Nothobranchius furzeri: one gene and its partner. The protein of the gene in region 1 purifies or fractionates together with the protein of each later gene. This does not show direct contact. Links are inferred from orthologs where the notes say so. Each region holds a gene or a part of one and is shown in the gene's direction. Other genes may lie near its edges.

Region 1 (3,822 bases):
AAGTATACACTGTAATTTTGTGTGTGTGTGTGTGTGTGTGTGTGTGTGTGTGTGTGTGTGTGTGTGTGTGTGTGTTTGTTCTTTCCTCCAGCACTACAGCTAGAGTCAGATTCGGAGACTGTGACTGACCTCCACACTTGTCCGCTCTGTGGGGATGCGTTCGATAACAGGACGGGGCAGTCTAACCATATAAGAGGTCATCTGAAAAAGCTTGGGAAAAATTTTGCTTCAAAGAGCAAATCCCCAATCATTTTACTGCATGAGTTGATGCGAGACAAAAAGGAATTTCAACAAGCCCTTCAGATTCTGGGAAGAAGACGAAACCATTTTCATTATGGTGCTTCACCAAAGCTGCCCATCACTAATCGCTTCACCTCTTCTCAGACCAGATTCCCCAAAAGTCATTCCATCCCAAGTGTTCTCACGGACACCAAACCACTGATGCCCACATTTACTTTATCTGACATTAAGTCTGAAAATGGGCAGTTGGAGAAGATGGGTGTTAAAAATTCTCTCTCAGGCACAACTGCCTTAATAGGGATTCTGAAAAAAAGGAAGTGTCAAGAAGACGCCAGACTAAAAGGATCAACTCCGATCTCAAGAAATGAGTCAACGGTTTCTTCAAATAGTGAGCACAGTTCAGGATCACTGCCAAACTCTCCATCTGGTAAGCAACGTCCTCAGAAAGGTAAAAGGCAGAATTCCTTCAAAGGAATTCCCTGATGTTGTCGACGTTATTTTCTAACAGAAGCTATGTTCTTACACTTATTTGATTCTCTTGAATCACACAGGTAAGGTTTGGAACATTTAGCGTTGACTTTATTTTTATGCACTGCCAATTCATTATTAAATATTTCAATACATCACATCAACTTTAATGATAATTTAGCAATTTTTTAATTTTGTTGTTTTAGACGAGCTCATTTTCAATGCAGGTTTTGAAATTACGTCAACACAACATTTTTATATCAAACATCAGTTAATTGGCTTCGTGCAACGATATGTCTATGATTGTATAGTGATTAAAGTAATTGCTGTGGTAAAATTTGAGAAGATTGCACAAAAACTGTCATTGCAGATTTAAGTTTTTGCACAGACACTCATCAACGATAGATGAATGGTCGAACTCCTGAACGTTTTTTGCAGTTCAGAGATATGTAGACTGGCTTCAGCTATGCTCAGATCTTAGTCATGTCCTAAGATCAATGTAATGTACTTAGGAAAATGTTATTACATTTTGTGTCTTTTTTTGCAGAAAAGGGTGAATTCAACAGGAAGATGTGCATTCATTGCAATGCAACTTTCCACAGCGGAGTTGCCCTCTCCAATCACCTCCGGGCATATGCAAAAAGAAAAAGGATCGCCTTACAAGAGGGAACCAGTAAGTATTGTCACCAACACTAGTAGGCCTTTCTACTGTAAGGGTGTAGCCTTTAACACGTCAGCCAAGCAACAAACAGGCCACCAGCCGAGCTGTTGGTGTTTCTGTGGCCATGGATGGAAACCATGGTGTGCTGCGTTGAAATTCCTAGCTCGGAGCGGGTCTAAACACGTCATTAACTCTACGTTATCGCGTATTTTGTGCCCAAAGGCTTTTTACCTAGATGAAAAATCCACTCTGCAATTATTGCAAGTTACCCTGTTGTTATGCTTTCGTGTAAAGTATAACCAAACTTTCGAGCATTTGTGCCGCGTAGACGCCATGTTTCCTGCTTCCGTAAGCTACGCAACGTGCACGGTGATGTCATTCGCGCAGACTGGAATTGATAAGGGGCACGTTTGCAAAAGTGCCGAACGATTCCTAGGAATTGAAACGATAGGAACCGGTTTTCAACAAGAACCAGTTTTTATTCCCAACCCTAGTTAGCACCAGCTAGCTGTTAGCCTCAGCTAGCTACAGCTTTGTTGCAAGAGAGAAAAACACTACTCACCACGAAGGTTTCAGGATATACTTGAAAAATCCAGAGTACAAATAAATGCCAGATAGATCCACAGTCTATGTTAAAATACAAACAGTTGTATGTTATTTATCGTGATATTTATCAAATATGGTTATATATTGAGAAAATATATATTTAATTATAAAAGAGAATTAAAATAAAACACTCACAAGTATCTAAAATTGGCACCGTTAAGTACCGGTATCGATTCCTGGGTACCGGGAGTTAGTACAGAATCCATTCAAATGTCAAAGGTACCCATCCCTAGTCAACAGTGAACAGACCCGTCAGCATTGCAACTTTTTCCACTTTAATAAATAATATTTGTCTTCTGTGTGCTCCGCTTGTCTGCTGTCCTGGGTCGGGAGTCTCCAGATGGGAAAATGTCAACAGGAACACACCAGCTGTTTTATTCTGGAAGATAATTTATTACATTAATCCAACAAAACGGCTCGTTACAGACTTCTCTTCTCAGCTCCTTTAGCTTTCAATCCAGAACAAGCAGAATGAAACAAGCCCCACCCCCAACTCCCATTTCTCCCTTTTCATCCCAACACCATCGTAACTGTGGCGGCGACCCATGAGCCATTAGATTAGCCTCTGTGACTCGTTAAACCCAGCAATGATGCTGGTCACAATATTGCCACTTTGGCCCTAAAGGGTTCATTTTTACAGTCTTTCTCAGTAGACCTGTCCGTTATATGCCTGTACGTTTATAACGTACTATTTTATTTATTTATATTATAAAGGCTGTGGTTCCTAGTTTTCACTTTTCTCTCCTCCAAACCCTTCTACTGTAGGCTTGAGTCAACACACACACACACACACACACACACACTGGTAGAGTGGGGGAAAGCAGGTCTTATTACGCCTGTTTTGTCTATTTTTAGGGACATTTTAAGCTCCGACTAAATGTTCTATGCAAATAGAGGCTCAAAGATCAGTTTCTACTAGGGCTGGGCGAAAAATCGATAAAATGAATTAATTCGAATTTTTTGTTGCGGGCGATTCATAAAGTAGGTAAATCGAGTTTTTGTAATGGCGCCTTTTTGGCCCTCCGGAGGTCCCGTAGCATCAGGTTCCCCACCCACGAGCGAGCAAAAACACACAAAACAACAGACAGCAAGCGACCACATGGCGACCGGTGATGGCGGTGAGAGTGGGAAGTTTGTTCCGAAGAAGGGGATAAAATCATCTGTTGTTTGGAACTGGTATGGGTTTGCTGCAACAGACATAAAACAAGAGACCCCATGCTGCAACCTTTGTCTAAAACCCGTTGCAATCAAAGGCAGCAGCAGCACCACTAACTTGTTTCAACACCTAAAACAGAGGCATCAAGCCAAACACGAAAAATGCCAGTCTCTCCGAGACGAACAAAGCCGCAGTGACCAAGAACCAGCGGCTAAAAAATTGCTAACTGTAGCCAAATCGTTCGCACAGGGGACCGCATATGACAAGAAAGGGGCCCGGTGGACTACAATCACCGACACGGTTGCTTTGTATACAGCAAAAGACATGGTACCCATATATACCATGGAGAAGACGGAGTTTATAAATTTGATGAAAACATTGGATCCCAGGTATGAGCTACCCAGCTGAAAGTATTTCAGTGAAGTAGTCTTGCCGCAGCTGTACAGAAACACACGCAAAAAAGTTGGCAGAGAACTGGAGGAGCTGTCCTTTTTTTGGCAACAAGCGACATGTGGAGCAGTTGAACTATGCAGCCGTGTATGAGTTTAACGGTGCATTTCATTAACAATGCGTGGGATTTACATAGTTTTTCCCTCCAAACGTCATACTTTCCTGAGGACCACACCAGTGAACTTATCGCCAAAGGACTGAGAGACGCTCTTGACTGCTGGAACCTGTCTGAGAAAAATCG
Region 2 (4,118 bases), about 42 Mb from region 1:
ATAAGGTTGTATCTATGTTACAAAGACCCATTCTGGAAAACATAATTTCTCACTTTTCCCATAAAGATGCTTCTAAATGGCACAAAAAGGCAAACTTTACTCATCTGCTGACCCTTTTGTGCTTTACTTAAGTCAGCTGATCTGACATGAATCCCCTCACATCTACTAAAGCACAACCTCACCTAAAAATAACTTTAGAACAGAAGAAATCCCCTGTCATGCAAAATATGTTATCCACTCGCTACACAAACAAGAATGATTGTTGTCTGTTTATATGTTTGGGATTATTAGAGAATGCAATATGACAGGCTGAGTGTTTGATTACACTAGGGCAGGGGTGTCCAATCCTGGTCCTCGAGGGCCGTTATCCAGCACGTTTTTCGTTTTAACCTGCTTCAGCACACCTGATTTCAATCAGCAGGTGATTAACAGGCTTCTGCAGAGCCTGATGAGCTGCTGCACAGGTGATTCAACCAGCTAATCAAGCATTTTGAAGCAGAAAAACCACAAAACCTGCTGGTTACTGGCTCTCCAGGACCAGGATTGGACTCCCCTGCACTAGGGAGTGTATAAACTTAATTGTGATCCAAAGATCATGTTTTCTCTTTGTCCTGGTTTAAACGTTTATTTGTGTGCATTTCACTTTCATACATCTTGTTTTTTCATGCATGAGTCACATTTGTCTGTCTGTTTGCGGTGATTATTGAAAAGATAAATCTGATTGAAGAATACTTGATTTCTTTATTAAAAACATTTAAATAATGTCTTGTTTTGTCTGGCTAACAGGTTATATATACCATTACTGTTATGGTGCTGCGTGCTGGTGAGCATATCAACATTATTTTCCTCACCTGAGCTGAACACCTGTGTTGACCGGCATCATTTCAGGACAGAAGGCAGACAGATTTATTAAAATATGGCTGTAAAGCATATTTAACAAATACTCGTTCAAAATCACAAGCCAGTCATTTACGGTATTCAGTAGAAAGTAAAAGAAATTGTTTCACTCAGTCTGAGAACAATCTAAACAACTTGAGACATCAGGTGCTCAATTTAATCTGAATTCAGCATTAGCATTATGACTTTGGGGTCAATTTGTTAAATTTTTCATTTTTGAACAATCTGAAAAAGAAAATGATTGCTAGTGTTTATGCTTTATTCCTTCCACTACTTTATAGTTTAAAACATATATAAACGTTTTCATTTACTACCAACGTGTCTCAGATTGCGTTAACTAGCGGCTTGAAGCCTTGGTTCATGAAAAGGGCCCTTCTGGAACACATGGGTCAGCTCGGCTGCAGACGAATCGCTTTTCCTTCTGGGCTTCCGTAGCCACAACTAGTTTTTGGCGCCGCCTTCGTTGTGGGATCGACTTCATCCGAGCGGCGTGGTGCTGAACAACTATAGAAATCCGCGCGCTTTGGGTGAGTGTGCGGAGTTCTTCTCTTTTAAAACAATGTTGAGTATTTCTTTAATTACATCAGGCTACTCTGAGCGTGTTAAAACGCCACCTATACGTTGCTGGTTTTTTGACAAACAGCAGTTTAGTTGTTGACCCAGCAGCGTTAGCATCGCCATTGTTTAGCTATTACTGTAATATGTTAAGCTAGCTGAAAGTAAGGCAAGTAAGGTGTTGTTTTGTGGGGATGTGTTGTAGTTTTACCACAGTTTTTATTTTATCTTTTACAATTCTACTAATTCTGTTGCTCAAATAAAATCCGCAGATGAGACTGTTTAAAATCAAGGAAATTTTAGGTAAGGGGTCAGCGTGTTAGCAACCTTTGTTACGTTTAGCTGCTAAATGCTGAGCTAACTAGCAGGTGGGCCAAATTAGAGTAATGTCCTATGTTAGCGTTGGCTGAGTTATTTGTAGCCTAGCATCCGGGTGGATTTAAGGCCTTCCGAATAAATGCGGCTCGTCTTTTTATCTTTAAAAAGCAAAATGGGCAAGAAACAGAATACAAAGCCTAAGAAGGAGACCGAGACCCAGGAGGAGCCTGAAGAATTTGTTGTGGAGAAAGTGTTGGACCAGCGGATCGTCAACGGGAAAGTAGAGTTCTACCTGAAGTGGAAAGGCTTCACAGAGTGAGTTACCCGGGACAATGTCCTGCTCTCTCCGCCTCTAACGCACCGTGGCTGCATGAAGCCTCCCAGCTTTTCCCTTTTAACACGTTTGGGATGTTTTTGGTTTGAACGCTAACCTGTTTTTTTTTTTTTTTTTTTTGCTCCCTCAGAGCGGACAACACCTGGGAACCCGAGGATAACCTGGACTGCCCCGAGCTCATTCAGGCCTTTCTGGATTCCCAGAAGAATATAAAGGAGAAGCCGGCTGCAGTGAAGAGGAAGGCCTCCACAGATGATGCAGAAGAGGAACCCAAGAAGAAAGATGTGGTTAGATTATACGTTTTTTATGTCTCTGACCTGCTAGCATGATTCCCTGTAGGTTGTGCAATCAGAATATGGTTTATAACCTGTTTTTGTTTTTATTTGACAGCCTGATAAGCCTCGCGGCTTTGCCAGGAACCTGGAGCCAGAGCGAATCATTGGTGCCACAGACAGCAGCGGGGAGCTGATGTTCTTGATGAAGTGGTGAGTTAGGCAGACTTTACACCCAATTTCAACAAGAGTAGTTTCACATTTACCTCGGTTGCTTTGCATGGCCATTAGTGTTTTTTTAGGGAGTCGAACTAAAAGCGGAAAAGGTTTATTACAAACATGTAGAGTATTTAGAAATAAAATCACTTGAATATATATAATTTATTTCTTTGATTTTTAAATAGGCTTTTCTAAGATCTGCTGTTTTATTTTAGTTTTTATTTATTTTTTTGTCCCCCAGGAAAGAGTCAGATGAAGCAGACTTGGTCCCTGCTCGTGAGGCCAACACGCGCTGCCCTCAGGTGGTCATATCCTTCTATGAGGAGCGGCTGACGTGGCATTCCTGTCCAGAGGATGAGGCTCAGTAGCCTTTGCCTGGATTCTGCACACCTTTATGTTTTAGGTTTTTATTGTGTTCTCTGTTCTGCTTTTTTTTTTCTTCTTTAGCTACTTTAGCTGATTTGAGACAAAATCATTTGTATGGCAGTTGGGGTATTGTAGATTAAAAGTTTGTCAAAGCAGGTGACTGGGTTGGATATAAGATTAGTCAAAAAGCGATAATGTCAGTCCACATTCCAATTTGTTTATTTTTTTTACTTGAGTCTATGTCAACCTTTTTGAGTTCAGTTAAATGTTTTGTTCCTTGATGCAAGTGCCGACGTGTTTGAAATGAACGCTTTGTTTACAGTTTGTAAATATAAAGTTCAAATAAAGGTTTTATGTGGCCTAGTTTTACCCTCTTCATTTGTAGTTTAGGACAAATGCATACAGAAAAAAGAAAACCTAAATGTTGCTTTATTAAAAGTGTCACAGCCAGCTGAGTGGTTCTGTCAGGGTATCAATCCTTGGCCTACATCAGAATGTTATTTTGGCAGCAGCATTCTGATCTCCTTAGAGGAACAGTGGTGAGATATTTATCCAAGGAGGACCATGAATGTCCACACCTGTCTGGAGCTCTATCAGCTGCTCATTCTGTTCTGCACTTGGTGTAAATGAGGCTTCAGTCTGCTGGTTCTCAGTAATGGATAATGGTTGGTTTCTTCTATAACCACTTGTAAAGACACATTATGGAGTTTATTTTAAAAGTAACTGGTCACATGTTAACAGCTATTTGCCTGTCGGAGATGTTAAACTTCCAAAAAAGCCTGGAACAGCTGGCAGGAAGTGTTGATGAATGGAAACATTTAAAGGAGACTAAAATCAGTCCAACCATAGTTTTACCTGTCATTTGATCATTGCATCTCACCTAATGATGCTCACACTAAAAAGGTAGAGATCGAAGACTTGGCTTTATCACCTGTAGTAGACTCATGGATGGTGACGTAACCTAAAACTTCATATTTATGTCCAACCGTGTGGTGATTGGTAATTCAAATCTGAATTCAGGTGTCTATATTGGTGGTTTTTATTGAACGAATGGGGGATAAAGTTGCATTGACGTTTCTGACTAAACAACATCCAGTTTCACCCCTCTGGCCTTTACCTACTGATAAAGTAACACAAGATAGGAGACGTCAGCGTAA

The links.
Region 2: the proteins of znf644a (region 1) and cbx3a purify together in Homo sapiens (affinity purification with mass spectrometry; 3 studies listed by BioGRID and IntAct, with this or other methods). This does not show direct contact. The link is inferred for Nothobranchius furzeri from reciprocal best matches to the Homo sapiens genes ZNF644 and CBX3.

Annotation. Positions count from the first base shown.
Region 1 is NC_091751.1:71,506,756-71,510,577, reverse strand, and holds part of znf644a (zinc finger protein 644a), read left to right. Parts: intron 1-91; coding exon 92-667; intron 668-1,255; coding exon 1,256-1,381; intron 1,382-3,822.
Region 2 is NC_091751.1:29,401,791-29,405,908, forward strand, and holds cbx3a (chromobox protein homolog 3a), read left to right. Parts: upstream 1-1,275; 5' UTR 1,276-1,424; intron 1,425-1,437; exon of another isoform or gene 1,438-1,755; intron 1,756-1,938; 5' UTR 1,939-1,942; coding exon 1,943-2,085; intron 2,086-2,234; coding exon 2,235-2,391; intron 2,392-2,494; coding exon 2,495-2,589; intron 2,590-2,836; coding exon 2,837-2,963; 3' UTR 2,964-3,324; downstream 3,325-4,118.